Linked DNA regions of Notamacropus eugenii. The protein of the gene in region 1 interacts with the protein of each later gene in a pairwise test. Links are inferred from orthologs where the notes say so. Each region holds a gene or a part of one and is shown in the gene's direction. Other genes may lie near its edges. The genes, in order: TNS2, SHFL, KPRP and CRKL.

Evidence for each region.
Region 2: the proteins of TNS2 (region 1) and SHFL interact in binary tests that used the Homo sapiens proteins (3 or more experiments, as listed by UniProt). The link is inferred for Notamacropus eugenii from reciprocal best matches to the Homo sapiens genes TNS2 and SHFL.
Region 3: the proteins of TNS2 (region 1) and KPRP interact in binary tests that used the Homo sapiens proteins (3 or more experiments, as listed by UniProt). The two-hybrid records come from large-scale screens. The link is inferred for Notamacropus eugenii from reciprocal best matches to the Homo sapiens genes TNS2 and KPRP.
Region 4: the proteins of TNS2 (region 1) and CRKL interact in a two-hybrid assay, tested with the Homo sapiens proteins (2 studies listed by BioGRID and IntAct). The link is inferred for Notamacropus eugenii from reciprocal best matches to the Homo sapiens genes TNS2 and CRKL.

Annotation. Positions count from the first base shown.
Region 1 is NC_092874.1:225,881,464-225,888,619, forward strand, and holds the start of TNS2 (tensin-2), read left to right. Parts: upstream 1-4,145; 5' UTR 4,146-4,232; coding exon 4,233-4,379; intron 4,380-4,518; exon of another isoform or gene 4,519-4,657; coding exon of another isoform or gene 4,658-4,726; intron 4,727-7,156. UniProt on the Homo sapiens protein: Tyrosine-protein phosphatase which regulates cell motility, proliferation and muscle-response to insulin. Phosphatase activity is mediated by binding to phosphatidylinositol-3,4,5-triphosphate (PtdIns(3,4,5)P3) via the SH2 domain.
Region 2 is NC_092875.1:80,060,797-80,067,787, reverse strand, and holds the start of SHFL (shiftless antiviral inhibitor of ribosomal frameshifting protein), read left to right. Parts: upstream 1-3,974; 5' UTR 3,975-4,159; coding exon 4,160-4,189; intron 4,190-4,553; exon of another isoform or gene 4,554-4,685; intron 4,686-4,841; coding exon 4,842-4,974; intron 4,975-5,230; coding exon 5,231-5,280; intron 5,281-5,767; coding exon 5,768-5,803; intron 5,804-5,895; coding exon 5,896-6,048; intron 6,049-6,133; coding exon 6,134-6,237; intron 6,238-6,561; coding exon 6,562-6,713; intron 6,714-6,883; coding exon 6,884-6,991.
Region 3 is NC_092873.1:376,461,028-376,468,535, forward strand, and holds the start of KPRP (keratinocyte proline-rich protein), read left to right. Parts: upstream 1-4,505; 5' UTR 4,506-4,616; intron 4,617-4,624; exon of another isoform or gene 4,625-4,795; intron 4,796-6,573; 5' UTR 6,574-6,598; coding exon 6,599-7,508.
Region 4 is NC_092875.1:9,005,789-9,013,504, forward strand, and holds the start of CRKL (crk-like protein), read left to right. Parts: upstream 1-4,708; 5' UTR 4,709-4,729; coding exon 4,730-5,040; intron 5,041-7,716. UniProt on the Homo sapiens protein: May mediate the transduction of intracellular signals.

The DNA of each region.
Region 1 (7,156 bases):
CACTCCCCACACTCCAGTTTTTGCTGTTCTCCACAAAAAACCCAACTCATCTTCCCCTCTCTCTCCACCCAGGCCTAGCATGCTCTCTTGATCCCTTCCACCTCCACTTACGTGAGGATCCAGCCACATTGGCCTTGCTTGCACACAACCCTGTGCCTTTGGGTTGTCTGCCTAAAATGGCTCCCCTCTCCCCATGCCCCACCCCACTCTCCCACTCCCTCACCTCCTGGCTTCCCTGGTGTCCTGCAATATTCAATTCAAATCCCATCTTCTGCAGGAAACCTTCCTGGGTCCCCACCCGCAGTTACTGAAGCCTTCCTTTCCTCTGAGATTATCTTTCAGTTTTACACTGTATATGATTTATGTGTACCTAATTACTTGTTTTTGTTTGTTTTTTTGGAGGCAATCAGATTAAGTGACTTGACCAAGGTCATACACCTAGTAAGTGTCTGAGGTCAGATTTGAATTCAGGTCCTCCTGACTCCAGGGTGGGTGCTCTAGCCACTGTACCACCCAACTGGCCTTGTACCTGGTTAGTTACATATTGTCTCCCATTAGCTCCTGGAGGACTGGGACTGTTTTTGTCTTTCTTTGTATCCCAAGTGCAGCACAGTCTGGTATATATAGTAAGTGCTTAATAATTGTTTGTTGACTATCATTAGCAAACAGTTTAAACTTAAGTAAGAGGGATTATTAAGTTAGTCATGAAGAAGTTCTTGAATGTGAGAGATTTGAGTCTCTTTTTGGAATGGGGGAAGGAAAGGGCAAAGGTTAGGAAGGAGTCTTTAAAAATAGGATTCTCCAGTGATTGGGATGGGGTAGGATATGGTCCTGTTCAGAGACAGTTAGATGAAATGACCTCTCTGGGTTCTCTTCCTTAGCATGTCCCTTCCCTGGGCCCTTTTAATAAATTCTCCCTAATGAGAGGAGAAACTAAGGGAAGAGTGGGAACATCCTGGCCAAGGAGAGGAAAAGATGGATCTCTTCCTGGTTCCTCATCTCAGTTGCAACAACTCAATTCATTTCAGCAACAAGATTTGACTTGACTTAAAAGCAGTGGTATGCTGGTAAATGTTTAACTTGGGGATGGGGGGAATACATCAGACATACTATTAAGTTTAATCTGCCTTAAAATTTTCTCAGTTTCTTAAATCTAGACAGCCAACAAAATAATAAATCGATGAAACAAGTCCCGGTTTATAGCATTTGCTGATTTCTGAGGTATAAATGTTCACACTGAATACTGAGAAAAATCGAGGGCCAGTTAAAGCTGGTACAAGCTCACGTCAACCTTAAAGACACTTCAGTGCCTGGCATTCGAGGCTCTCCACCATCTAGCACCACCTTCCCACCTTCTCTCATGTACTCTCCTCAACTGAACTGAACCATTCCCTAGGCTAGGTGCTTTCTCCTTCTTCTGTCTCTAACCTAGTTTATCCTCTTGTTGAATTCCTACCCATCCTGTATTTGAATATGTATATATGCAAATAGGAATATACGTGCAAATATGTGTATGTGTGTGTGTATATACATATATGTATATGTATAAATTATTAATGCTTTTTGCCCTGCCTTTACCACCAATCTTTTCCCAACCACTAGATACATATCAAGCTCTCCCTTATGACTAAAGTAAATAAGGGAAAAGGTCTGATACAGAGACTGACAACTTATAGAATATTCTGTTCTAAAAGCCCCCCTTATTCTCCTTCATTAGTTTTTGCATTACTCCAAGTTCAATTTCATTTTAAAATTAATTTTTTACAATCAGCAAAAATCCACCTTTTCTCCCTCCCAACCCAATACTTCCCCCTACCCTGCTTAATGAAAAAAAACCAAAACTCTTGTTACCAGTGTGTATAGTCAAGCAAATCAGATTTCTTTTCCTTATCCTGAAAATATATGTATCTCGTCTTGCACTCTGAATCCTTCACCTTTCTATCAGGAAGTGGTTAAATGTTTCATCATTAATCCTCTAGAATAACGATTGGTCATGAAAGTGATCAGAGTTCCTAACCTAAATCTTCCAGAGTTTGGCTTTGCTGGATTGTTTTCATTGTATAAAATCTCCTGCTTCTCTGCATCTGTTCATACAAGTCTTCCCAAGTTTCTCTGAAACTATTCCCTTCATCATTTCTTCTAGCACAATAATATCCTATTATATTTATATACCATCACTTGTTCTTCCATTCCCCAATTTAGGGGACCCCTTTGGATTCCCATTCTTTGCCACTGCAAAAAGAACCATAGTTTTTTGATGCATCCTTAGAGTTTGTTTTGCTTAGGACTAATCCGTCCCTTAATGTACCCTCCCTATAATTCCTCCCTTTCCCTTCTCTTTCCTTCCTTTATCTATTGGGTGAAATGTATTTCTGTACTCAACTGTGTGTGTGTGTGTGTGTGTGTGTGTGTGTGTGTGTGTGTGTGTGTGTGTGTGCGTGCGCGCGCGCGCGCTTCTCACCTTTGACCAGTGCAGATGACTGTAAGGTTCAAGTGTCAGTCACTTCCTCCACTCCTTCCTTCTTGTTTGGATAGGTGCCTATTTGCACAATCTGATTATGTTAATTTTCCCTAACCTTCCTTTCCCTTCCCCATCATCTCCTCCCAATCTCATTTCTTTCCATTCTTCTCTTTAAGAACCACTCTCAGGCCTTGTTTAATGATACTCCCTCAATGGTCCCCTGATGATAATAGGGTTATGAGGAAACACATAGTGGCATCTTCCTATATTAGAATGTAAGTAGTTCAGCTCTGGTTAGCACTTTATGCTTATTCCTTAATGTAGAATCAAGGGTAAGAAAACTGGAAAGGTCAGATAGGACCAAGTTGTGATAAAGTTCAAATGGCAAACTCAGGGTCTGTCATCTGGAAGTAATAATTGAAGCCACTGAAGTCAGTGTCAATTTAGGACCTACATTTTATTTGTCATTTCTTACAGCATAATATGATTCCATTACATTCATATAATTTTTTTAAAAATCTTTTATTTAATCTGTCCATCCCAGAAAAAAAAAAATCAAGTCCCTCATACTTAGATGCCTAATCCAGCGAAACAAATGTTCCCATTGAATGGTCATGTCCAGAACTATATTTTTCTTTGAGTTCATCACCTCTCTCTCAGGAGATGCCGTGTTTCCTCTTCACTTGTTTGGATTTATGGTCCATCACTGCATTGATTAGATTGCTAAAGCCTTTCAGAGTTTTCCTTTTTTCTGTGTCGCTGTTCTTGTACAAATTTCTCTGGTTTTGCTCACTTGACTGCATGGGTTCATACAAGTCTCTCCAATTTCCTCTGAAGCTGCCCTTTTGGTCATTTCTTATGGCGCAGTAATGTTCCATTACATTCATATGTCACAATTTGTCTAGCCAAGCCCCGGACAGGATGACATCCTCTTAATGTCCACTTTGGGTCTCGCACACAAAAGAGCAGCTGTCGATATTTTTGAATGTATAGGTCCTCATCTCTCTTTGGGAATCATAGACCTAGTATTAGTACCACTGTGAGATATGGGGTATATTTATGATGTAGTAACTTGGGGACATAGTTCCATACTGCTTTCCAGAATAGCTGTGCCAGTCCATATTCCTAGCGTCTCTGCTGTCCCAGGGCCCTCCACATTTGTAATTTCCCTCTCCTGTCATCTTTGTCCATCCATCTTTTTACCAGTCATTCCTCAGTCTGTGGGACCCTATATGTTTCCAGTTATTTGCTCCTCCAAGCAGTACTGCTGTGAATATTTTGGTATATTCTGTCTTTTGACTCCCTTGCAGGGATATGTTTATTGGCACCTACCCATTCTTTAAGGGCCAACTCAAATGTAGACCTCTCCATAAAGTCAAGATACTTTGCCCACCTCTTAGGCACAAGCTCCCTGTGGGCAGGGAGCAGGTATTTTAAAATGTCGAATCTCCCCTAGGGCCTAGCACAGTTTTCAGCACAGACTGGGCACTGACGCTAAGTGCCCAGGGTATGTTAAGCTGGAGGGGTCACAGCCCCAGGCCGGACGTCACTAACTAGGACAGGAGGGCTGCTGATCCGTCCTGTTTATCGGCTCTGGGTGTGTGCCAGCCCCGGCTGGGAAAGAGGGAGGAGAAGTGTGTGTCCCACTGCTGGGAAACAGGAAGCCAGAGGCCGTCCAGGCCTGACCCCAGGCCCAAGAGCACCGACGGGGCCTGGGAGCGTCCTCGGGTGGGCCGGGGGAAGGGGGTGACCAGAGGGACCCCCGGATCCGATGGCCGTGGTCCCCCACGCCCCCGCCCTTGGCGCCAGCCCAGGGAGCCCCCACTCTCCTGCTCCCCAGAGGGGCCCCGGCAGGGTCTCGGGGCTCTCCCCGTCCCTCTCCTCTCCTGCCTGGGTCTCGCTCAGTCTTCGGGAGAAGGTGGGGAGAAGAGAGGACTAGGGGGCGGGGAGCGGGGCGAGAAGTGGGATTGGAGCCGGAGCGAGGGAAGGAGGGAGCAAGGGAGGGAAGGAGGGAGGGAGGGAAGAGGGAGCGAAGGAGGGCAGCCCAGCCCAGCCCAGCCGGGCCGGGCATCGCAGCGAGCGGGGACCGGGCAGCCGGGGGGCCAGCGGAGCTGCACTGGAGGCGCCCGGCCGGGGGGGTGCTGCGGTGGCGGGCCCCTCCTCCCTCCGCCCCCCGCTCTCCGCCCCGCCGGCGGCATGGGCTGGGCTGGGGGCTCCCCCTGCTGCTGCCCCCCGCGCTCCCGCCCCGCAGGACGGCCCCCCAAGGTGAGTGGGCGGTGGCTGCGTCACGGCCGGCCGCGGGCCGAGCCGGAGGAGGGGAGGGGAGGAGGGCGGTGCCCTGGGCGAGCCCCTCGGAGGGGGCTGGGGGGAGGGGGACCCCGCTTTGGAGCCCGGCCGGGGGGGCAGCCCCCATCCGCCCCCACCTATAGCAGCCCACAGCTCGGAAAGTTGGTGCCACCTCCGGCCTTAGGAGGCAGGGCTTGCGGGCCCTCGGACTCACGTACGCACCACTGGCACACGCACACACCCCCTCCGGGCACAGGTACGCCCACCCACCAGCGCACCTTCGCGCTGCCAAGCCGCACCCTTCAGTGCACTGAGGTAGCGGCCCTCCCCAGACTGGCAGCCCCTAAGTGCTACCTGGAGGCAAGTATGCCCCGCGGACACACCCGGCGGCACCGGCAGTCCGGCGGGAGGAAAGTTACCCTGGGCCCGAGACGTAGACACGTCCTGGAGGGTGGGTAGGGCTTCCTTCCCCCTCCCCTTCGTGTTTGTGGAAACTGAGGCAGGACTGAAATTACACATCCCCAGCCTTCTTCTGGCACAGCTCCCCAAACCCCGCCAGTTCCCCCAGTCCCCTCATTTATTCCCCATCCCCGGTTATCTGGTTTCTCTTCTGCTCCCACTCAAGATCCCCCCCCATCCTAATTAAGACCTGATTCCTTCCCTCTTTCCTTGGACCTTTCACCCTTTCCCCCTCCCCTCTAGCCAGGCCTGGGCTTCCAGCCTCTGTATCCAACCACAGCTATTTCCAGGAGGGGGGAGTAAGGGGTGGAGGGGGCTTCTCCAAACAAACCAAAGACTTCCTGGCCCAGCATATGAGGGGGCCAAGGCAGGGGAGGGAGGAGGCAGGCAGACACTGGAATGTGGCCAGCAAGGATGGTTGGGGGGGGGGGGGAGCAGTGGGAGAGCAGAAGTCCAGCTGAGAACTGAGCTGCATACCGGCTGGGGGGCTAATATTCCAACTTCTTCCTACCTTAACCCTTAGGTGCCCACACCATACAATATGGCAGGGAAATGAGATTTCTCTCCTTCCTGCCCCACTCGTCTTTTCCTCTGCAGATGCTAATCAGGGTACCTTGATGATCTCCAATCACTTCTATAATGTAGGGCCTCTCTTTTCACGCCCCTACCAGCCCAGAAAACAAGGAGGAAACTGAGGCCTGACCCAGAAGAATTTTCTCCCTCCATTTCTAACCGTCAGCATAGATGGTTAAGGTAGAAGAAGAGTTAGTGTTGCCAGACCTACAGAGATTCAAGGGGAGGGATATTGGAAGGTTTTAGCTACAGGCTGCCATGAGCCAGTGCCAGGGAGGTGAAAGTAAGACCCCTTAACAGGAGGATGGCATTCCAGAAGGGAAGTTAAAGACAAACAGGGGAGGGCCCCACAGGTACAGTCCAAGGTTTTAGGGGCTGACCAAGGGAAAAGGAGAGATTCAACTAAGGGAAGAGGAGAGGAGCTAGAAAGAAAAAAAATCACCTGCCACTCAGGCTTCTTGGTGCCAGTCTCTCCCTAGGATACAATATCATGCCAGGGTCCTACTTCCCACATTGATACAATGTCTGGAATGTCCTGAAACCTGGCCAGACTTAGTGGTGGAGGTGGGGGGAGGGGGGGGCCAAAATCCAGCGCCTGCCCTTTCAAATTTCAGGGCTGAGAAACTAGCCTCCTTGGATGTTCAGTCCTTAGTCTAAATTCCCTGTTTCTGCCCGACATCCTGTCTGGAAGGGCCATCGGTAGCTGAGCAGATGCTCCCTGAAGTAAGAGGCGTTAGGGCACTGATTCGATTTAGCAGCAGCACTCAACCCCCTCTCTCAATTCAGTTAGGAAGTAAATATGAAGGAGCGCAATTTTTTGTAGAGGTTCCCTAACCCCCTGAGGTTAATATCCTAGTGGTCTACTCAGGAACAGAGGGGGAGAGCTAGTCAGGAGTGGCATGGGTAAGAAAGAAATAGAGCTCAGGACCAGGATCCTGAAGGACGGGCCAGTCCAACGGGGAAACAAGGGGTTCACATGGGGCAAGCAAACCCTTTCCCCCTTTCTAGACTTTCCTCATCTGTAAAACGAGGGAGTTAGAATAGAATAGATACTTCGATAATTCAGTTTAATTCAGCAAAGATTTACTAAGCGTCTACTGAGACAAGAACACTGTTAACTGCTGGAGGAGACAGTTTAGATAAGTCAAGGTATCGGCCTCCTTGGTGTTTACAGTTTAGTAAACTAAACAGACCCTAAGGTCTTTTCCAGTCTATAGCATTCTGTACACAAATTCAATACCTCGCCCACATAAAGTTTGGGGACAGCTATGGTGGAAGGGATGGGGTGAGGAATTTCAAGGGAAAGGGGGCAGGGACTGGGAGAATCTGAGGTAGGACGGAGGCAGTCAAGGAGGACTTGGGCAGATGCTGACCTAC
Region 2 (6,991 bases), on another chromosome or scaffold:
AGAGGAGTAACATGACAGCAATGTGGAGGAAAAGAGATGACATTGAGAGATTTTGTGGAGGTGGATTGGACAAGACTTAGCCATTGACTGGATATGGGGTATGACGGAAAGGGAAGAGTCAAGGATGTTATAAACCAGAATGATGGGGAGGATAATGGGGCTCTCAACAGAAAAGAAAGAGTTTGGAGTAAGAAGTTTAGAGATAAAGGGGCTAGATGAATCCATTTTGGACAAATTGAATTGGAGATACCTATGGGATATCCAGGAGGAGCTATGCAACTGGCAGCTGATGATATATGACTGAAGCTCTGGAGCAAGACAAGGGTTATATATGTAGATGTAAGTCATCTGCATAAATAGAACACTTGATTTCAATGGGAAATGATGAGATTTCCAAGAGAAAGAGTGTATGCTCAGAAGAGAAGAGCGTTTGCTACAGAGCCTGGGGAATACCCTTGGGTAGGGGGAAGAACATATATGATAATCCAGCAAAGAAGTCTGAAGAAGAATAGTCAAACATAGAAGGGGAACCAAGAGAGAGTAGTGTCTCAACATCCCAGAGGATAGTGTCAGATGCTTCCGGGAGATCAAGGAGAATGAGGACAGAGAAAAGGCCATTGGACTTGGCAAATGATCCAAGAGGCAAGCCCTAAAGGAGTCAGGAGAAGACGAGATGGAGAGCATAGGTAGAGGGTTTGGCCTTGGCAAGGGGAAGGACCACTTTGTACTCAGAGATGGAAGCACAGATGGGCAAAATAAAGAAGAAAAGTAACCTTGTAACAAATGGCCTCTATTTTCAACATAAAGTAGTAGACAAGGACATCTGTTGAGAAAGAATGAGATAGCAATGGAGGGACTTTTCTGAAATGAAAATTTATTGTTACGTATTTTAAATCCTCTCATGTTTTACTAGGCACAAGACATGCTTTTTTTGCTCTTTGTATTTAAGTTCCAATATTTGAGTTTATGATATGTTTTTGTTTCTTTTCTCGATTCTGTATTTGTGTTCTGGCATTTGAGTCCAAAATTAAAAAAAAAAATAGAGTAAGTAAAGGTCCATAAAGCACATTTGTCTGCCCAAGGGAATAATCAGTACTTTCTGTACCTTCTAGGGGGCATAACCAGAATAGCTACTTGGAGTCCAGTGTCTATGTAGGTGACCAGATGGCATTCCAAGCTTGAATGATTCCATTTCACTCCCATCACACAGGTGGAGAAACTCCTAGATTCTAATCTTCAGTCATTTGCTCACTACCAAACTCTTAGTCCACACATACCTCATCCCCACTCCTAGCTTATCTTTCCAAAGCTTTCTATACTGGGATATAAATAATTAGAAGAATTCAGAAATTGCTCAAATGACTAGCCCCCATTCTCACTAGATTTCAGTCAGTTTACCAGTGTGACCTGTAAAAATGAGTCACTCACATAGAGATTAAAAAATATTTCCTGAATTAAAGTAAAAATGAAAGATCCAGTATTCAAACCCCATCATTCTTGAGTAAATCACAACCTCTTGGTAAGCCCTTAAGTCATTAAAAGTGACAGATGGGAGAATAGCTAAGCAAATTGTATATATGAATACAATGGAATATTATTAGTATGTCATAAAAAGTGAAAAAAAGTCAGAGAAGTATGAGAAAGACATAATAACTGATGCAGAGTGAAGTAAGCAAACCAGGAAAACTGCCACATTAGAAATAAAAGGAATTTTTTAAAAATATTATGTAAAGCAGTGCTGAGACACTGTCTCTTCCTCACTTTTTTGCAGAGGCAGAGGTCTATGGATGTCAAATTTTTCCATAGATTGATGTGTAGATAAGTTTTGCTGAACTGTGTTTTTTTCTTTTTTATTCTTTGTTAAAAGAAATAACTGACTACATAGAGGAGGAAAGGATAAATTCAGAAATAAAGGTGATATAAAAACAAATGATACTGTGTGAGGAATTTTTCTGGTAGACTTAGCCCTTCACAGCAATGCAAGGACCTAAAAAGTTCCCAATGGACCCTTGAGGCAAAATGCCTTCCATATACAAAGAAAGAACTATGGAATTGGATCTCAGAATGAAGTAAACTATTTTCTCTTGTGTTCTGTTTTGGTCTGGTTTGGTTTTTCTCATGGTTTCTCCCATTCATTTTAATTCTTCCATGAATCATGACCAAAGTGAAAATGTATTTAGTAAGAATGTATGTGTAGAACCCGTATAAGATTGCACTCAGTCTCAGGGGGGGAGGGAGAGGAAGAAAATCTAAGACTTATGGAAGTGACTGTAGAAAACTGAAAGCAAATAAATTAATTTTAAAAATTAAATAAAACAAATTATATAAAAATTGAAAATAAGAAGAAAAATTGCTGTGAGTACTGAGGCAGAACTGACCTGGCTAAGGATTTGATGGTGAATACCTCAATCATACTTTTTCTCTCTATAACTATCCATGACCCAGGTATCTTCTGACCCCTGCATTAATCATCATGTAAGATAAGGAACTAGTTATAGGCCTGGCTACTGTGGACTCTCTCCTCCCCTTTTTACTTCTTGCTTGGGGTTGTAATCAAGTCAACATTAACTTTGGACTTTGAAGGGCATAATAATCTACTGCCCTATTAATCAACTCAGAATCCTTGTGATTCTAAGTGACAGGCAGCCTAGGTAGAAGTTTCCTTCCAGGACCACCACTCTCTAATCTCTCACAGCTATTCATGTCAGCTCTATGCCTTCCATGTCTCTACCCCCACATTACCCATCCTAACCTCTGCAATCCCTCCAGTAAAGAAAGAGCTACATCTATGAAGGGCTTCATGAGCATTCAGCAAAGGGACAAAACGACGCCCACTGACCAGGAGCTGCTTACTCCTTTGCCATGTGTGTTCTCTGTTTCCTTCCCTTAATATTTTGAGTTTGAGCACACACACTTTGTGCCACCAAGGCGAGAATGTGCTCCTACTTTAGATAATTGTTGTTTTTTTCCTTAACTATCCTAGCTATACCTGCACAGTAAATGAATGCCCTTTCTAAAAGCCAATTAAGTAGGACTGATAATCAGGGGAAATATGCTGGTGGGGGTAATAGAAAAACCTAGACTTTTACCCCTAGAGTCCTAAGAAAAGTAGCTGTCAACTATCCTCTGGGGATCAGCCAATTCAAGTGGGAACTGGGAAAGTAAGTAAGGAGGGAGTGCTATACATATATTTTATATTTCATTTTCTCTGCACATGTCATTGTGTCTGAAAAAACTATAACCTCCTTAAAGACAGGGTCTGTTTTCTTGTCGTTGTATCTCCAACCCTCAGCACAGTGCCTGGTATATAGCAGATAAGAAAATGCTTGTGCTGGCAAATTGAATGCTTTTTAGAGAGGCAATTGATAAACTGAAGAAGAAGATGATCAAAGTTGGGGAGAGGGGGGAAGGAGGCAATCATGGTAATTAGAGCAGAAAGTGACCTTGGAGAGAAAAGTCTAGAGTCCATGTTATATGAGGATTGGTCAATGGAACTGGAGATGTTTAGTCTGAAGAGGACAAGATTTAAGGATGGTACATGTAGATAGCTTTCTTCAAATATCCCAAAGGATCATACATATGGAAAATGTTCTGTTTTGTCCCAAGAAACAGAACTCAGAGCACTCAGGGTGAAAGTTACTGAGAAGCAACTTGGGGAAAAAACTTCTTAGTAATTGAGGCCATCTAGGGTCGATGACCTTTCCAAAGAGGAGTCTTGTAGTCAGATACAGGTTGGACTAGAAGATCCAGGGAGTCCTTCCAGTTTAAGGCTTCGGACCTTTTTGGCCAGGGGCTTTTCCTCTGGCTTGGGATAAGATTCAGGATATTCAGTTCACGGTCAGTTTCCCAGTCCCACACCCCGCCCTCAATTCAGGGACCCCCATCTGTCCCACTGAGGTTTAATCCCCCTCAAATTTGGGGGCTGAGCAGGTCTAGAAAGACTCTAAACCTAGCCTCAGGCTCTGACAATCCTCACCCCTCTGAGGCCCCGCCCTTTTCTGAGAAACTGAAAGTGGGAGGAAAAGCGGGGCGGGGGTGTGGGTGCTGTTTGTTCTGGGCAGACAAAAGCAGTGGAAAGGGCTGAGAAACCCCAGTTCCCCGTTTACTGGAGCTCCATAAGGTGAGACCCTCGGGAGCTGCCGGAGCCGCGGGATCAAGGATGGCGGGAGCCGGGTCCTCCGGCGTGAAGGTGAGAGGACAGGGGCCAGGAGCCAGGATGCGCTGCGCGGGGAGCCCAACCCTGTCTCCCCTAACTCTAGGCTTGGCCTGACGGGGAGCAGAAACCAATGGAGACCAAGTCTGCCTGGGACCGGGACCGGGACCGGGACCGGGAGGGGACCCCATCCCACCCCCCGACTCCTCCCTGATCCCGTTCCTGGAGTCGGGGAGGTAGGGATCGGGCAGGTACAGGCTGGAGAGCCAGTCCTGCTGCCTCAGGGCTTCTCACCTGCCTTGCACTTTGGGCCCTCTGGCACAGGCACCTTGGCCTTTTCCAAGAAACGCTGTCCGGTCAAGGGCCAAGGGCCTGACCCACAGATTTCCCTACCTCTGCAGGCTTTTTTCCTCCCCCAACCAACAACAATGGAAGGGAGAGGGGATGAAAGGAAGGAAATTGGGCCCAAGATGCATGCGACCTCTCCCCCTCAGACCCTGACAAAGACCTGGCCTGTGTGCCCATTTCGTAGGTTAGTCAATTGATACCCAGAAGGAATGGAATTTACTGTCTTAGCAGTACTACTGTCCAATACTGTCTAATGCAAGCCTTCAGGTTTCTCAAGGGTTTCAGCAATGGTACCGATGATTTTCCTGTGTCTCCCTCCCCTATCTCAACCTCTTAACAGCTGGAGAAGAGTGTCCGTCGCCTTAGGGAGAAGTTTCATGGCCATGTGCCCGTAAAGAAGGCAAATGTTCTAATGGAGAGATACAGCCACAACCATGAGCTGGTCTCTTCCTGGCTAGTTAAACACATAACAGGTCAGCAGGAAACGCTGGGGGGAGGGGGAGGCAGAGAATATAGAGGAAGCCCTGGAGGGCTTATTGAGGGGCCTGTTGGGTACTAGGGGCCCCTACAGGTACTGGGAGGGGATCATGGAAGGGGTGTCCCAAGGAGTTCATGTCCAGAATGTTCAGTGGAACCAGAAACCACTGGGGGATAGGTGACTGTTTAAAGGTCCTTGGTCCTAGTATATCCTGTGACAGCCCCTATGCTCTCCAAACTTGTTCTCTGAAGAGTTCAGATCAGAAAATGAAGATGTACACCAAGCAGATCCAACTGTCCAGGTAATTTCCTTCCCCTACATTCCCCATAGCTGTAAAGAGATCCAACAGTCCCCAACTCTAATGAGCAAATCCAGGAAGAGATAGAGGGCACATGACCCAGGTTCCTGGGCTCAGGATTACAGGAAGAGACAACTCTGGGAGACTCTTTTCCAGTTCCTCATCTTCTCCTCTCCCCAAGACACCCACAATCTCTTTTGCCCAGTCCTAGATACACTTTTCTCTTTTCCAAACCCCCCCTCCATGTAGGATCCAGGCTGACCCAGGAGATAATAACACTGGAGGGATTAGAGGGGGTGGATCTTGAGGAGGGGTCTGAGCTGTGAGCTGAGGCCTTCTCCCTGGCCAGTCCTTAGTCCTTGCTTCAAAGTTTACTTCTTTGCCAAGTGACGAGCTCCAGGAGTAAGGGTACAGGGGCACCTGGACACCTGACAGATCAATGCAGACCCCAGCTCAGACTCCTGTCTCTATCTCCCCACTCTCTGCCCAGGATCGACAAAATGACTTGAAGGACAGAGACATTGAGGTGAGAGGGGAGCAGGGGTGAGAATGAGAACATCCATTGGATCCATGTTGGAGGCTGAGGTGCCCTGATCCTATCCCCAACTTCCCACTCAGGAGGTGGCTACCACCATGAGCTTACCCCTGACAGAGAAAAATCTGCGAATGTTGAATGATGCCCAGAAGGGCCATATCCCTAAGGAAGACTGCCAGTTTGCCTGCGGTTCCTGTGATCACATGTGGTGGCGCCGGGTGCCTGAGCGCAAAAAGGTGAAGGGGTCAGGACCAGGACTGAGGCTGGGCCCCATGGAGTCCCTGGTAACAGACCTCACCCTCCTCACACTGAGCTTTTCAGGTGTCCCGGTGCCGGAAGTGCAGGGTGAAATATGATCCGGTGCCCAAAGACAAGATGTGGGGTAAAGCTGAGTTCCACTGTTTACAGTGTGGCCATACCTTCACGTGAGTTCTCAGATCCCTGTCCCCTGACCCTTGTTTCCGGTTCTCATAAAGGTCAGTGCCACAGAAAGGTCAGAGTTCGAGAATCAGGGTTAGTATCCTAGCTTCTAGCTTGGACAAGGCATTTTCCCCACTTTGGGCCCCAATTCCCCTATTTGTAAAAAGAGAAGTCTAGCTGCAGATGATCTCCAAGGGTTCTTTAAATCTCCCATCCTAATCCCCTGTTTCTCTTTCATTCTTACTTTCTCAGTCCCCAACCCTTGATCTCTGACTCACACTTCCTCTTTGGCCTACTACCTGCCCCAACCATTTTTGCTTTCTCCTCAGGGGTTTTGCCCAGATGGGAACTCCATCTGCATGCTACCACTGCGGCAACCTTGTCCTACCAAATCAAATTCTCCCTCCACGCCGATCCCAGAGTGAGACACCCAGAAAACACAAACATTCCTGCTCTGCTGAGGACTGCGTTAACCGACAAGGTTAAACCCCAGGTCCTTCTATCCCTTTGTTCCCCTTGTCCCACTTCTCCCTGACCCCAGTAGAGCTGACACCTACCCCCCTTTAGCCTGCTCCCCTGGGGCCAGTCTCTGACTGAACACAGAAATGTCTCAGGACAGAGAAGGCTCAGATCCTATATCTGCCCCTCCAGGATCCTCCATACCAGGGACCACCTGTGTGCACCCCAAGAGTCGTAGACAGAAAAATATGCCTATTGTCTTGTGGCCAAGTGCTGTCCATGAAAGCACTGGCTCCACTG
Region 3 (7,508 bases), on another chromosome or scaffold:
ATGTAGCTTTGCAAAATAAATGTTCCTGTTGCCATCATTATTATTATCATTGCACAAGATCTCTGATTTGAGACTTTGAAGTCTAAGAAAACAAGTTTAATATACAGGAAACCAAGAAAACAAGAAAAGCTGTGTGGCCTGGTTTTGAATCCAGACTTTGCAGACTGTTGACACTGATGGAAAGTCAAGAGCAAAGGACATCTCAGGGAGCCAAAGTACTCAGGGGTATCATTAAGGAAGTGGGACTTGCAATGGACTGGGGCAGGTTCTAAATATAGAATACCATTTTTCTTTGTCTGTCTCTGTCTCTTTTCCCTCTCTGCCTCTGTTTTTTTCTGTTTCTATCTTTCTGGCTCTTCTCTGTTTATCTCTCTTTATTTCTCTTCTTTTTTCTCTTTTCGTTCTGCCTCTCTGTTTTTGTTTTTCACTCGCACTCTCCCCTCTCTCTCTTTGTCTCTCTCTTCCTCTGTCTCTCTCTGGTACTCTCTTTTTCTGTATAATTTTCTAGCATTCTAGCATAATTCTAGCATTCTATATTTATCTATAGATCACAACCTCTGTGTATTTTTATCTTTCTGTCTCTAGGGATCCCTATATATAGTGTTCCGTTTCTATATAATTCTACCTTCCTTTCTATTTCCTTTACTAGACATCTCTTTGTCTTTAAAACTATGTCAACAACATATTTCTCATATTGCATATCTATCATGTAAATATATATAACTTTCTTTAAAAAAATTAAAAAACCAAAAATCTATTTTTATCTCCTTCCTATCCAAACCCCATTGGGAAAAGAAAAAATAAAACAAAACCCTTATAACAAAAATGTGTAATCAAACAAAACAAATTCCCTCACTGGCCAAGTTCAAAATACATATGTCTCTTTCTGCACCGAGTACATAGAAGGTGGATAGCACACTTCCAACATCAGTCCTCTGGGATTGCTGTTGGTCATTGAACCATACACAGATTCTTCTTCATCTCCTTTTGCTTTCGATCTCTTATGTGTTTTCTATGTATTATATCATCATATATCTAAATATTTCCATCTGAGTATAGCTATTCCAGTGATTGTTTGTCATTTTGTTGGTAAGGGAATTTGTGATTTTCTTGGTATGCAAACTTTGATACAGACCAGTATTATAAATAATAGATAATATATGTATATGTATACACACATGTGTGTATGTGTGTGGGGAGGAGGTATACATTAGAAAAATCTTAGGAATTTGCCTGAGGCTCAGAGTTATGGTGACTTGCCCATGGTCAAACAGCTAGTATGTGTAAGGGACAGAATTTGAGCCCAGGTCTTTCTGTCTCCAAATATAGTATGCTATCTATCTTCCATGTTGCCTCTCTAAAATGTTTGTTGAATTGAGCGAAATTAAAGTGTATCCACTCTCTCTATAGAAAATCTCTCTCATCTCTAAATATGTCAGTCTAAACTTCTACATTTGTCTTCATGATCTCTATCTCTGTTTCTTTAGCTCCATGTTTATCTACATATACATATTCGTTATCTTTATACATCTAGCTTCGCACAGCTTTCTCTACTGAGGGTCACAAGATGTAGAACACTCATAGGAGGAAGAGATCTTAGAGATGATCCAGTTCAGAGGTGTCAAACTCACAGCCATCTTCAATGTGACCCCAAATAAATTAAAATGTAATGGGAAATGTTAAACAAAATAAACAAAATATAATACAACATAGATAATGCAAATTTTTAGTTTTCTAAGTGGGGCTTTGATCCCTTTCTATTTGAGTTCGACACCATTGATAGTCCAACCCTTTTATTTTATCAATAAATTCTGAAAGGATTCAATGATTTATCTATAGGTGCACAGGTAGGGAGTGTCAGAGCTGAGCTATTACTATTTTTATCTCTACTCAGATGTAACTTTACTCCATTTTCATCTTTCTTTCTCTACATATCTTTATGATATATTTTTGTTGTTCAGTTGTTTCAATCATGTCTGACTCTCTGTGACCCCATTTGGAGTTTTTTTTGCAAAGATACTGGAGTTGTTTTCCATTTTCTTCTCTAATATATGGTATTCTATGCATATATATGTATATATTCATACATATATACATACATACATGCACACAGATTGATGGGCAGATTGATAGACAGATGGATATAGATATATGTATACATAATGATATCAGTCAGAAAATGACACCTATTATATTTCATAGGTATATATTCATATGCATACATACATATGTATGTGAGAGACTATCATTTAAGAAGAACTAGACCTTAGTTAAAGATCACAAAACAATGGATTTAAAAGAATTATTTAGTTTCCAACCCCCTTAGAATAAAGAAAGTCCTTGGAGAAAGGTCTGGAGCCTGCATAAAAAGAATGTAGCATACCAAGCATTCCAAAGAGAAAAAGAAAGTCATTTTTCTCCTTATTTTGAAAATGTTTCACCTTAATCTCAACTCTTTAAGCCCCTCATTTCCAGTTTCTATGATCTCATGTTAGAGAAAGAAGAATCCTCTGTTTCAAGGTTTGGGATTGGTTTCAGAAAATTCAGGACTATTTTCCTATGAATATCAATGAAATGGTGTTAGAGATGCTTCTCCCATTGTTCCTCTGAAGGTAACTTCTGCCTCTTCCATCCCTTCCCCCTTCTTTTTTCCCTACTGAAGTTCCAATAACCAGAAATGTTCCTTAGTCCCTGGACTTCGTCTACTCCTGTATTCCATCACCTTATTCTCCAAGGACTCAGCACCTAGAATGAAACCCATATTTTCTCCCTAGTCATTGAAATTTAATGATTCTCATTGTGATGGGACAGTGTAGTCCTAGAAGTAGCTTCTCATATCTTTTTCCTTTACACCCCATCGGATGCACCACACGTGATACTGGACATCATAACATGGTAGACAGCTACAGTACCTCACCTCTAACCTCAGGTATTAGGGGGATGTAAACAGCTGACCTTGGGTCTGAGTAGGCAAGCTAATTATAATAAATAGCTAAAATTTGTATAACACTTTAAGGTTTGAAAAGCACTGTACAAATGTTATTGCATTTGATCCTTATAACAACCCCGTGAGGTAGGAGTTATTATTATTCTCATTTTACAGACAAACTAACAGGATAAGAAAAATGAAATGGTTTGCCTAGGATCATACAGCTACTAAATTGTCTAAGGTAGGATTCAAACTCAAGTCTTTTCCAAGTCCAGCCCTTTGTTCACCACAGTTTACTCAGCTTACAAACACAGGATCAGAAAACTTGTTGGTACTTATAGCTCTGGTTCTGGTTCATCTGAGCACTAAGACAGTCTTTTTAAAAATGGTGTTTGTTTTTCTTGCATGTAAAGACAATTCTTAGTATTCATCTAAAAATAATTGAGTTCTGAATTTTCTCCCTCCTTCCTTCACTCTCCTCTCCCTACAAGCATAAGCAATTTGATATAGGTTATATATGTGCAATCATGTAAAACATATTTCCATATTAATCATGTTGTGAAAGAAGAAACAGGCCAAAAGGAAAAAAACCAAGAAAACAACAAAGTAAATATAGTATCCTTTGATCTGCATTCAGACTCTATCAGTTCTTTCACTGTATATGAATGGCATTTCTCATCATGAATCCTATGGAATTGTTAGTCTTTTATCTCCTTTTTCTTCCCTCCCCAGAGATGACACACAGATAATAGTGAATGTAGTCCCCATGGAGTGGAATATTTGCTAAGTCTGAAAAAGTGCTGGACTTTCTCCATGAGTACTTTTTATATGCTAATGTAAATATGAAGGATTATGTCACTGGTTCAAAGCCTAAGGACTTCTCCTTGGACATTCTATCTGCCACACATGGCCCACTCAAACCAAAGTAATATGCACAGACCTGGATGTGGCCTACTGCTCATGTCTAAGCAAGCATCAAGTGTGTCGGCCAACTAACATTCATTAGGCACCTACTATGGGCCAGGCACTATGCTAAGCCCTAAGGATACAAAGAAAGCCAATAAAATACATAAAATACTATAAATATAGTAAATAAAAATAAATACATAGATAAAATAAAATAAGATAAAAAGTTTCCAAGGAGATCACGCTCAAGTGGAATCATCGATCAAATTTGGAATAATTTAGGGAATTCATTCTAGAATAAGCAATCAATTACAGAACTGGAGTTGAAGGGCTTAGACACAACATCTAGCACACTAGCCTTGCACATAGTAGGCACTCAGCCATCTGTTAAATCCCATAGGAGAGAGAATGTGACTTCTGGAATTATATGTGTTTGTGTGTGGGGAGTGGAAGAACATGGAGAATGGGAGAACTTTGTAATCCCCAACCAGTTTGTAACCTCCTAGGACTTCTAGGAATGGAGGAAACTCATGTACGATTAAGAAGGATAGTGTCTTCCTATTCCAGAAGTCTCAGCACTGAGCTCAGACACACCCATGTACACACAGGGAGGGAACCAGGCAATGGAATGTCGGTCCTTGTCACCAGGACTTCAGTTGCCGCCTTGTGAGAGCAGATGCCAATAAATTGTCTCATAGTTCAAGTCAGAGGCTGCAACTCTATAAATCAGCTCCCAGGCCCAGGCTCCTCAGCCAGTGTGATCACAATAGCATCAAGGAAGGTAAGTCTCTGAGACTGGACAAGGGTTGGGGGGGCCAGAGAGGTAGATATAGGTGACAAGGAGTCAGAGCAGAGAAACTGTTGGGAGCCATGAGGATGGAAAAAGAAAGGAAGAGGACCAAGAAGAGTATCTGTTGGGGCTTGGGGAGAAGAGGACAGTGCAGAGGAGCATGATGGAAGGTGTGCATATGTGTGGAAGCATCTCTGCTCTGTGTGAAAAATCAAGGTGGTCTTTGGCAAAGCAGTGATGGATTGATTGATTTGATTTATATTGGGAGTGCTATCAAATTGGGACAGCTGTAAGCAAACTGCCTTGTGACAGACTGTCTCTTGTTTGAAAGTGGGTGTATTAAGTTTGGAGAGACTCATCACTAGACTGGACCATGGGACAATAGTTATTGACCACAATGGCTACTAGAAAATCTCTACCTAGTGGTAGAGGGGTTGCTCTCTGCCTGGGTGGAGGATACATCTGTACTCATGAAAAAGGTCCTCCTTGGAGCATTGAGGTAAATTGACCAGAGTGCCATCATTCTCTGGGAGAATGCCATTTTTTTCAGGAAGGACTTGGGCCCCTTGGCAAAAGAGTTTCAGAAATTAGGGGAAAGATGGGAGAATTTGGCAGATTGTTAAGTAGAAGAGGTTTTCCCAGAGTCTCTAAAATAGATGATTGCCTTTTCTGCCTTTGCATTTGTTTTTGTGAGATGTTTTGAAGTAGGGTAGGTTAGAGTAGGCTGGGGTGGGGTCTACATGGACTTAGATCTGGAATGCTTGCTTGTGTAGAAGTATATCCATCATATTTATAAGGCCAAGGAGAAACCTAATAATGGATATATGTCTGGCTTACATATCAGGGCCCCAAGCTTCCAGTCCTTGCTTGTTTTTAATGTTTTCAGCTTCATCCCATGAGTGGTCCAAGGCAAAAAACAAAACAAACAAACAGTTCTAAGGTCAGCCAACCTTTCCTTCTATCCTGGTGCAAACTAGGATTTCTTGCGAGCAGGAGGCAGGGAAAGGGTTATTGGCAAAGTTGGTGTATGGGGAGGATTATTCAGCTTGAGCTAGAAGGGACCTTAGAGATCGTCTCAACCCTTCCCATTTTATAGACGTTGAAGCCAAGACCTAGAGGTGAACTGACTTGCCCAAGGTCCACATCTACTAAATGGAAGATTCAGAATTTGAACTCAGCTGCTCTGACTCCAAAGCAATTCCCTTTTGCACATCTGAATTAAATGAAAATTTTCTCTGACAAATAAAAAGATTTGTTTAAAAACAAATCCTCCACAATACAAATGTTTTGCTTGGGTGGTAACTCACTATTGTGTGTATGGTGCCAAATAACTCTGACTATATTCTCCACTTTTCATCTGGTAGTTTTGGCGGCATGTCAACATAGTTTGTACGTGTCTGCATACCTCTGTGTGTGACTTCATCTCTTCATTATTCACTTTCATGGAGGCGAATCATTCCACAGACAATTTAAATTCCAAAGTGCTCCAGATTGGGACAGCCCAAAGTGTTGTGTACAATGGCCAATAGTTAAAAAAATAATTTTAAACTGACTTCTGAAAACATGTTCATGGTGTAAGAGGCATATATGCTGCCCAGTGAATGACATTTGGCTTTGGGTCTTTCTAGGAGCAGTTGTGGGAGAGGGTAAGCGTCTATGTGGATTTATGTATGTTCCTGCCTCCAACCATCCCCCAGGAGCTATAATATGGTGACAAGGGCACTGGATTTGGATCCAGGAAACTGATGTTCAAATTCCCCCCTGCTCTTTGGTAGCCCAATGATCTATACAAGCCATGGCTTAACCTCCCTGGTCCTTAGTTTCATCATTAGTAAGATCCAAGGTTTGAAACCTCAAGTCCCTTCCTGCTCTGAATTTTATCTCTGACTCTGGGATTCTTTTTCCTCCCCCAACCTCCCAGACTAACCTCTACTCTCTCTGCCCACAGAACCCTATCATCTGCAGTCAGAATCATGTGTGACCAGCAGCAGAAGCAGCCCTGCCTACCACCTCCAGAGTGCTGCGTTAAAGGATCTTCTTTTACTCCTTCTCCATCCTTTGTCCCCATAAAAGGCCAGGTCTCAGGTGAAGTACGAACTTTTCAAACTTGCTCTGCAAAGGGTCAAGTTGTAAGCCAATCTCAAACTTCATCTACAAAAGGCCAGGTCCTAGGCCAGTCTAATGTATGTGCAGGGAATGGTCAAGCCCCAAGTCAGTCCCAGATATGCTATGTGCAGTGCCAGGCCCCATGCCAGGCCCAGGAAACCTATGTAGAATGCCAAGTTGCATATCCTGTTCAGACCTCCTATGTGCAATGCTCTCCAGTTTGTTGTACTGAAACTTACTATGTGCAATGCCCTCTTGAGACCTATGTGCCAGTGGCAGCCTCGCAGCCAGTTCAGTCTTATGTAGAATACTACCCTCAATGTCAGACTCAGGGATATTATAGCAGCAGTGCCCCTCACTGCCAGTCTCAGGGGTATCATACCAGCTATACCTCTCAACGTCAGTCTCAGTGTTATGGCGGTGGTGCACTTCAGAGCCAATACCAAGGATCTTACAATGGCTGTTCCTCTCAAAATCAATATCAGGGATCCTATGGTAGATGTGTACCTGCCCGCACCTCTCAGCCTTCTTATCATAGCTGTTCTCCTTCACGTGGACCTCTGCCTTCCTATGTCAGCTGCAACCCTCCTAGCACTTCTCGGCCGGCCTATCGGAGCTGCTCCACTCCATGTCTCCTTCCACCTACGTCTCGGCCCGCCTATCAGAGTTGCTCCCCTCCACGCAGATCTCAGCCTACTTATACTTACTGTACTCCTCCACGCGTATCTCGGCCTACCTATAGGAGCTGCTCCCCTCCCCGCAGATCTCAGCCTACTT
Region 4 (7,716 bases), on another chromosome or scaffold:
AATTTTAGGGATATAAAAATGAAAGATAGCAATAAAAATTTATAGTAAACAATTAGGCGCTTGTTAATTTCCTCTGAGGGCCTGCCCCTCCAGTCATCTTTTCCTTTCATAGTCCAATCTCTCTTTATCAGCTGGCACCTCCCCCACTGCCTACAAACTGCCAAAGCTCCCCCGAGCCTTGCCCTTGGCCGTGCCACCACCTCAAGCCATTGGTCTGGGCCTTCTTTCCATTTGCAGCCAAACTGCCTGAGCTGCCATAATCCTCACATCCCACTCACTTTTCCATCTGCCTTCCCACCTCACTGTCCCATTGAACCTGTTCTCTCCATGTTTACCTGTGATCTTCTAATGGTTCCAGTCATTGCTTTTCCCCCTCCTTTTCTCCTCCTCCTTGACCTCTGGATAGCTTTTTAAAAATAATTAATTTTTAGTTTTCAACATTCCCTTTTATAAGATTTTGAGTTCCAAATTTTTCTCCCTTCTTCCTCTTTCCCCCTCCCTAAGATGGCAAGCAATTTGAGATATATATATATAAATATGCATATAGATACAGGTACAATCATATTAAATATATTTCCATGTTAGTCATGTTGTAAAAGAAGAATCAGAACAAAAGGGAAAAACCAAGAGAAAGAAAAACACACACACACACACACACAAAAGAGAAAATAGGCTGCTTCCATCTGCATTCAGACTCCACAGTTCTTTCTCTGGAGGTGGACGGCATTTTCCATCATGAGTCTCTTGGAGTTATCTTAGATCATGGCATTACTGAGAAGAACTAAGTCTGTCATCATTGGCCGTCTCACTGTGTTGCTGGTACTGTGTACGGTGAGTGTTCTCTCGGTTCTGCTCATTTCACTCAGCTTCGGTTCATATAAGTTCTTCCAGGTTTTTTCTGAAATCTGCCTGCTCATTATTTCTTATGGGAAATAGTATTCCATTACATTCATACACCACAACTTGTTCGGCCGTTCCTCTACCATTGATAATTCCTGAAGGCAGCCAGCTAGCATGGCAGATGGAGGGCTAGGAAGACCTGAGTTCAAATCCTGACGCAGACACTTCCTAGCTGTGTGACTCTGGGCAAGTCACTTAACCTCTGCCTGCCTCTGTTTCCTCATCTGTAAAATGGGGGTCATAATAGCACCTACCTCCAGGAGTAGTTGTGAGGTTTGAGATACTTGTAAAATGCTTAGCACACTGCCAGACACAAAGTAGGCACTTAATACATGCTTGCTCCTTTCACCTTTCTGCCATTCAAGAAGCCTTTCCAGAATAGTTGGGCTAGTTCACTACTCCACCAACAACACACTGGGAGCCTGTTTCTTCATATCTTCTCCAGCATCTGTCATTTTAGCGTATCTGGTGGAGGTGAAATGGCTCCTCAGAGTTGTTGGCATTTGCATTTCCAGGAGAATACCACCCTTCTAGACACCCAACTTCAAAATCTCTTCACTCTCTATCTAGTCCATCACTAAACTTTGTTCCTCTACCTCTCCCCATTTCTCCTCTTACATAAACAGCAAGTCTGATACAGGCCCTCTTTACCTCTCACCTGGACTATCACCCTAGCCTTCCACTCATCCCTCTGAGTCAAGTCTCTCCCCATCCAATACATCCATTACTCCCTTGTGGAGCATAGATCAGATTATATTAGACCCCTCACTCCAAACTCTCCAGTGGCTCCCTATTACCTCCAGGATTAAATCCTTTGTTTGGCAGTTAAGGCCCTACACAACATACTCCCTAAGATCCAGCCACCCTGGCCTAGTTACTGTTTCTCAAACAGAATGCATCATCTTTATCTCCATGCCTTTGCATAGAGTATCCCTAGCCTGGAATGCTCTCCCTTCCAACTTAGGTCTCTTGGAATCCCTGCTTTCCTTTCCTCCCCCCAGGTGCTGGTACCATTCTTCTACTCTGTGTTGGCACCCCCATTAGAATGCACACTCCTTGAGGGTGGGGATTATCGATTTTCTTTGTACCCCAGAGTTCAGCACAGCACTTGGCACATGATGCGGGCACCTAATCAATGTTTGTTGATGGATTGGTTGGTTCTATAGGTATCCATGTAGCACCTTGGTGTCTGGCTTAGAGATCATCTCCTCCGAACACTGAGCCCCAGAGGAGGAGAGTGGCTTGTCCAAAAGTCATACCGGTAGTAACAAATCGACCCTCCTCCCTTTCTGTGGGTCCTACCTGAGATACCGGGGTAACCGCAGTATAAGCAGTCCAAACTGACTGGTATTGGCTTCCTTAAACCTACTGGATGGCAACATGTCTCTGTGTTAGTTATCCACCGAGGGAGCACCATACCTGAATTTCCCAGCAGGTGGAATTCTTTTGAACCATTAACCTAGTAGTCACTTCTGTGGAAAGGTCTCCCAAGAGGTTGCTATATTCCCATTAGCCACCAGAGGGCAGTGAGCGGATAAATATCTAGGCTGCCTCCTCACTGCTGGGTTTCAAGCAGTTTAAGCTGAGTCTATAAGGTTCAGAACTTAGCTAGGGGCAGAGATGGGCCTCAACGTCTCCCTTCTCATCTCTGCCTCTGCCCAGTAGCCAAATAATCTCCCCTGGGCTAATCGCCAGCTTCCAGGTCCCCTGCCGCTTGAGCCTTGGACCACAGAACATCTTGTTGATGGAAGTCTCCACATCTCAACCCAAGTCATGGGCTGCTTTATCCCCGTGAAGTGGGGCTGGCAGGAAGTGTGGCTCTCCCAGAGGATCTGGGGGAGGGAAGAAGAGGCACCAGCAATGAGTTGGAGCCAGCAGCTTACCTGCTGCCAGAGCCAGTTCCCTCACAAGGCTGGGGCCAGGGTGGGGTGGGGAATGCCAGTCAACAGAACCTGGACTTTTGATCCCCCTGAATCCCCCCCATTCCTCAGGGGAAAAAGCAGGAATTCATAAGGGAAGAGGGTAAGGCCTGGGCTGCGGTTGTACAGGTCAGTACCACATAGGGAGCTTTGGGGAAGGATGGTGGTGGTGGATGAATCTGTCCTCTAGCATTGATTGAGGGCCTATTGTGTGCCATGCTAAGTGCTGGCATATAATGTGGGTCCCTGCCCTCCAGCAGTTCAGGGTCTAATGGGGCAGACAAGGGGCAAACCACTGGGAAGGGTCAAGCTAAAGACAGCTCTGCCCAGCCTAGGGCTGGCTTCTCTTGGGGAGCATCCTTGATGATGGGGATGGGCAGCGATGCTCAAGTTGCCCGGTCTGGGGTATGCCCTGGTGGGAATGGGGGTGAGGCAGAGGCACTCAGTATAGGGGCTGGCAGGGGAGTCCTGGCTCTGGCCCTGGAAAGAGCCTGGCATCAGGAGCCTTCCCTAGGTGGTGGAGCCTCAGTTTTCTCCTCTGTAAAACGGGGACTGCCTCCCAGGTGTGGTGGGAGGCCTGGCCCCTACTAAGCGCTACCTACGCGTTCAGCCTTGGCTTTGGGGGGACCAAGGAGATAGGGGTGCGGCCCGACTTGCGCCCGGACTGGACTTCGGTGGAGCACAGTGGCCCCAAGTCTGGCGCCGGACACGGGTCCGGAGGACAGCCAAGCTCTGTTTCAGAACTCTCCCCGGCCCATTCTGGGGGGGCAGACACCCCCTAACTCAGCCAAGGGGCTGGAGCCCACTGGTCGCCCTTAGCTTTGCGGGGTGTGGCCGGAGCACGTGGGGGAGCCACAGGTGACAGGTAAGTGACAAGCGGACCCACCCGAGGTGCAGGAGCCCTTCCCGGCCTCCACACCCCGAGGGGAGCCTTTGGGACACCCAAGGTTGGGTTGCTGCTGCCCAGGGACCTCGGAGAGTCAATCTTGGTGCGGATCGTCACTAATGAATACGGCTGAGGAGAGGGCGTCTTTGGGACTGATTACAAATGTAGCTTAGGTCTGATATTGATGCGGATCGTTACTGGTATATACGGCCGCCGGGCCTGGGCGTGGGTCAGGGACCCCCCGCCCGAGGTTTGATTTGGGTGCGGATCATTACTAGTACATATGGCTGAGCTGGAAGGTAGGAGGGGCGTCGTTACGGATCACTACGGCCCAGCCGGCGGGCCGCCCCCCGCCCCTCCCCCCGCCCGGACTCCAGGCGAGATTTCCCCACCTCGGCTCGGCCTTTCGAAACCGAAGGAAGCGCCCGGCGGCCTCCGCTCGTCGCCCCGCCCCTCCCCCCTCCCCCTCCTCCCCTCCCCCTTCCCCTCCCCCTCTCCCCCTTCCGCTCCCCCCTCCCGTGCCGGGCGTGCTCCGGCGCTCACGCGGACAGGCGGGAGGGCGGCGCCGCGAATGGGCGCGAGCTCCGGGGCAGCGCGAGCGCCGATCCTCATTGGGCGCGCGCGGGCCGGGCCGGCCAACCGGCGAGGGCCCCGAGGGGCGGGGCGGGCGCCGCGCACGCGCAGAGGGCGCCCCCGAAGAGGCTGGGGAGGTGGCCGGCCGCCCGCCATTTTGTTGCTGGGGCTCTCGGGAAGCAGGGCTGCGGCGGAGCGGCGAGGCCGGCGGGCGGCGGGGCGGCGGCGGCGCGGGGCGGCGGGGCGCGGGCCCCGGCGCGCGATGGTGCGGGCGCGGCGGCGGCGGTGCCGCGGGCTCGGGGCGGGCCGGGGCCTGTGAGGGCGCGGGGCGGCGGCGGCGGCGGGCGCGGCGCGGGGAGCGGCCCTCGGCGGAGCGGCGGCGGCCCGAGCTCGCCCGCGGGCTTCCGTAGCCGGCGCGCCCCCGCCCGGGGCGGCGCGGCCCCCGGCGGCCATGGCGGCGGCGCGCTTCGACTCGGCCGACCGCTCGGCCTGGTACGTGGGCCCGGTGTCGCGGCAGGAGGCGCAGAGCCGGCTGCAGGGCCAGCGGCACGGCGTCTTCCTGGTGCGCGACTCGTCCACCTGCCCCGGGGACTACGTGCTGTCCGTGTCCGAGAACTCGCGCGTGTCCCACTACATCATCAACTCGCTGCCCAACCGGCGCTTCAAGATCGGGGACCAGGAGTTCGAGCACCTGCCGGCGCTGCTCGAGTTCTACAAGATCCACTACCTGGACACGACCACGCTGCTGGAGCCCGCGCCCAGGTGCGGGGCGGGGGGGAGGGGGAGAGAGAGAGGGAGAAAGGAGAGAAAGAGGGGGAGACCGAGAGAGAGAGAGAGGGAGAGAGAGAGGGAGAGAGAGAGGAGAGAGGGAGAGAAAGGGAGAGGAGAGAGGGGGAGAGAGAGAGAAAGGGAGAAAGGAGAGAGGGAGAGAAAGGGAGAGGAGAGAGGGGGAGAGAGAGGAGAGAGGGAGAGAAAGGGAGAAAGAGCGAGAGAGGGAGAGAGAGGAGAGAGGGAGAGAGAGAGGGAGAAAGGAGAGAAAGAGGGGGAGACCGAGAGAGAGAGAGAGGGAGAGAGAGAGGAGAGAGGGAGAGAAAGGGAGAGGAGAGAGGGGGAGAGAGAGAGAAAGGGAGAAAGGAGAGAAAGAGGGGGAGACCGAGAGAGAGAGAGAGGGAGAGAGAGAGGAGAGAGGGAGAGAAAGGGAGAGGAGAGAGGGGGAGAGAGAGAGAAAGGGAGAAAGGAGAGAGGGAGAGAAAGGGAGAAAGAGCGAGAGGGGGAGAGAGAGAGAGAGAGAGAGGAGAGAGGGAGAAAGGAGAGAGGGAGAGAAAGGGAGAGGAGAGAGGGGGAGAGAGAGGAGAGAGGGAGAGAAAGGGAGAAAGAGCGAGAGAGGGAGAGAGAGGAGAGAGGGAGAAAGGGGAGAGAGGGAGAGAGAGAGGGAGAAAGGAGAGAGGGAGAAAGGGGGAGGGAGAGAGAGAGAGAGAGAGGAGAGGGGGAGAGAGAGAGGGAGAAAGGAGAGAGGGAGAGAAAGGGAGAAAGAGCGAGAGAGGGAGAGAAAGGGAGAAAGAGCGAGAGAGGGAGAGAGAGGAGAGAGGGAGAGAAAGGGAGAAAGGGGGAGAGAAGGGGAGAGAGAGAGAGAGAGCAGAGGGGGAGAAAGGGAGAGGAAGAGAGAGAGAGAAAGGGGGAGGGAGAGAGAGAGAGGGGGAGAGAGAGGAGAGAGGGAGAGAAAGGGAGAAAGAGCGAGAGAGGGAGAGAGAGGAGAGAGGGAGAAAGGGGAGAGAGGGAGAGAGAGAGGGAGAAAGGAGAGAGGGAGAAAGGGGGAGGGAGAGAGAGAGAGAGAGAGGAGAGGGGGAGAGAGAGAGGGAGAAAGGAGAGAGGGAGAGAAAGGGAGAAAGAGCGAGAGAGGGAGAGAAAGGGAGAAAGAGCGAGAGAGGGAGAGAGAGGAGAGAGGGAGAGAAAGGGAGAAAGGGGGAGAGAAGGGGAGAGAGAGAGAGAGAGCAGAGGGGGAGAAAGGGAGAGGAAGAGAGAGAGAGAAAGGGGGAGGGAGAGAGAGAGAGGGGGAGAGAGAGGAGAGAGGGAGAGAAAGGGAGAAAGAGCGAGAGAGGGAGAGAGAGGAGAGAGGGAGAGAAAGGGAGAAAGGAGGGAGAGAGGGAGAGGAGACAGGGAGAGAGAGGAGAGAGGGAGAGAAAGGGAGAAAGGGGGAGAGAAGGGGAGAGAGAGAGAGAGCAGAGGGGGAGAAAGGGAGAGGAAGAGAGAGAGAGAAAGGGGGAGGGAGAGAGAGAGGGGGAGAGAGAGAGGAGAGAGGGAGAAAGGAAGGAGAGAGAGAGAGGGAGAGGAGAGAGGGAGAAAGGAGGGAGAGAGGGAGAGGAAGAGGGGGAGAGAGAGGAGAGAGGGAGAAAGAGGGGGAGAGAAAGAAGGGGAGAAAGGGAGAAAAGAGGGAGAGAGGAGGGAGACAGAGAAAGGGAGAGAGAGGAGAGAGAGAAAGGGGGAGAGAGGGAGAAGGAGGGGGAAAGAGAAGGGGAGAGAGAAAGAGGGAGAAAAGAGGGAGAGAGAGGAAAGAGAGGAGAGAGGGAGAGGAGAGGGAGAAAGGGAGAGAGAGAGGAGGGAGACAGAGAGAGGAGAGAGAGTCTGCGCTCTTGTAATTTTCATTTAGATCTTAAGTGAGCAGGGTCCGAAGAAAGTGCCCATTCAACCCTTGTTGGTGAGGCCAAATCCCATCATTAAATGGGGGAGGTAAAGGGCTGGCTCAGCACATACTGGAGACACTTTTGGAACCCAGGTCCCCTGACTCCCAAGCCCACAATGCCCCAGCTGGCTTCCATTCCCACACTTGGTGCCCCTGGGGTGACCTTGGGCAGCAATGGCTCTTGTGTGAGGTTTGACCCCCCCCCTCTCACAGGTGAGCAGATCCAGGCCGAGGTAGTAAGATACCCTGCCATCCTCATAGCTAAGAAATGGGGGGATTGACCCCCAAACCCTGGTCAGTTCAGGGATAGGGGCACCCACTCATGTTTCTTCTGGGCAAACAGGTGACAAAGTAGAAGCTCCTGGAGAGGGGACAGGGACAGCTTCTGCTCTGACTCTAGACCTGGTGTTCTAGACCGAGTTTGGACTAGATGAGTTCTAGTAGGAGTGTGGGAGTTCTGCTCCACTGCTGATTTTCTGAGTGACCTCCAATGATAAGTAAATCTCCTCAGGGCTCTTTCAGTCAATAAACATTTATTAACTGTCATTTTCTGTACCACATGCTACTAACCTGGAGATACAAAGAGGCAAAAGGCAGTCCTTGCCCTTGAGGAGCTCAAAATCTAATGGTGAGATGACAAGCAAAGGAGCATGGACATCATAGACAGGACGAAGAGGAATTCCGTTAGAGGCAGGCATTAGAATTGAGGGGTGGGGAAGGTTTTCTGGAGGAGGTGGGTCTTAAGCCAGGGAAGTCAG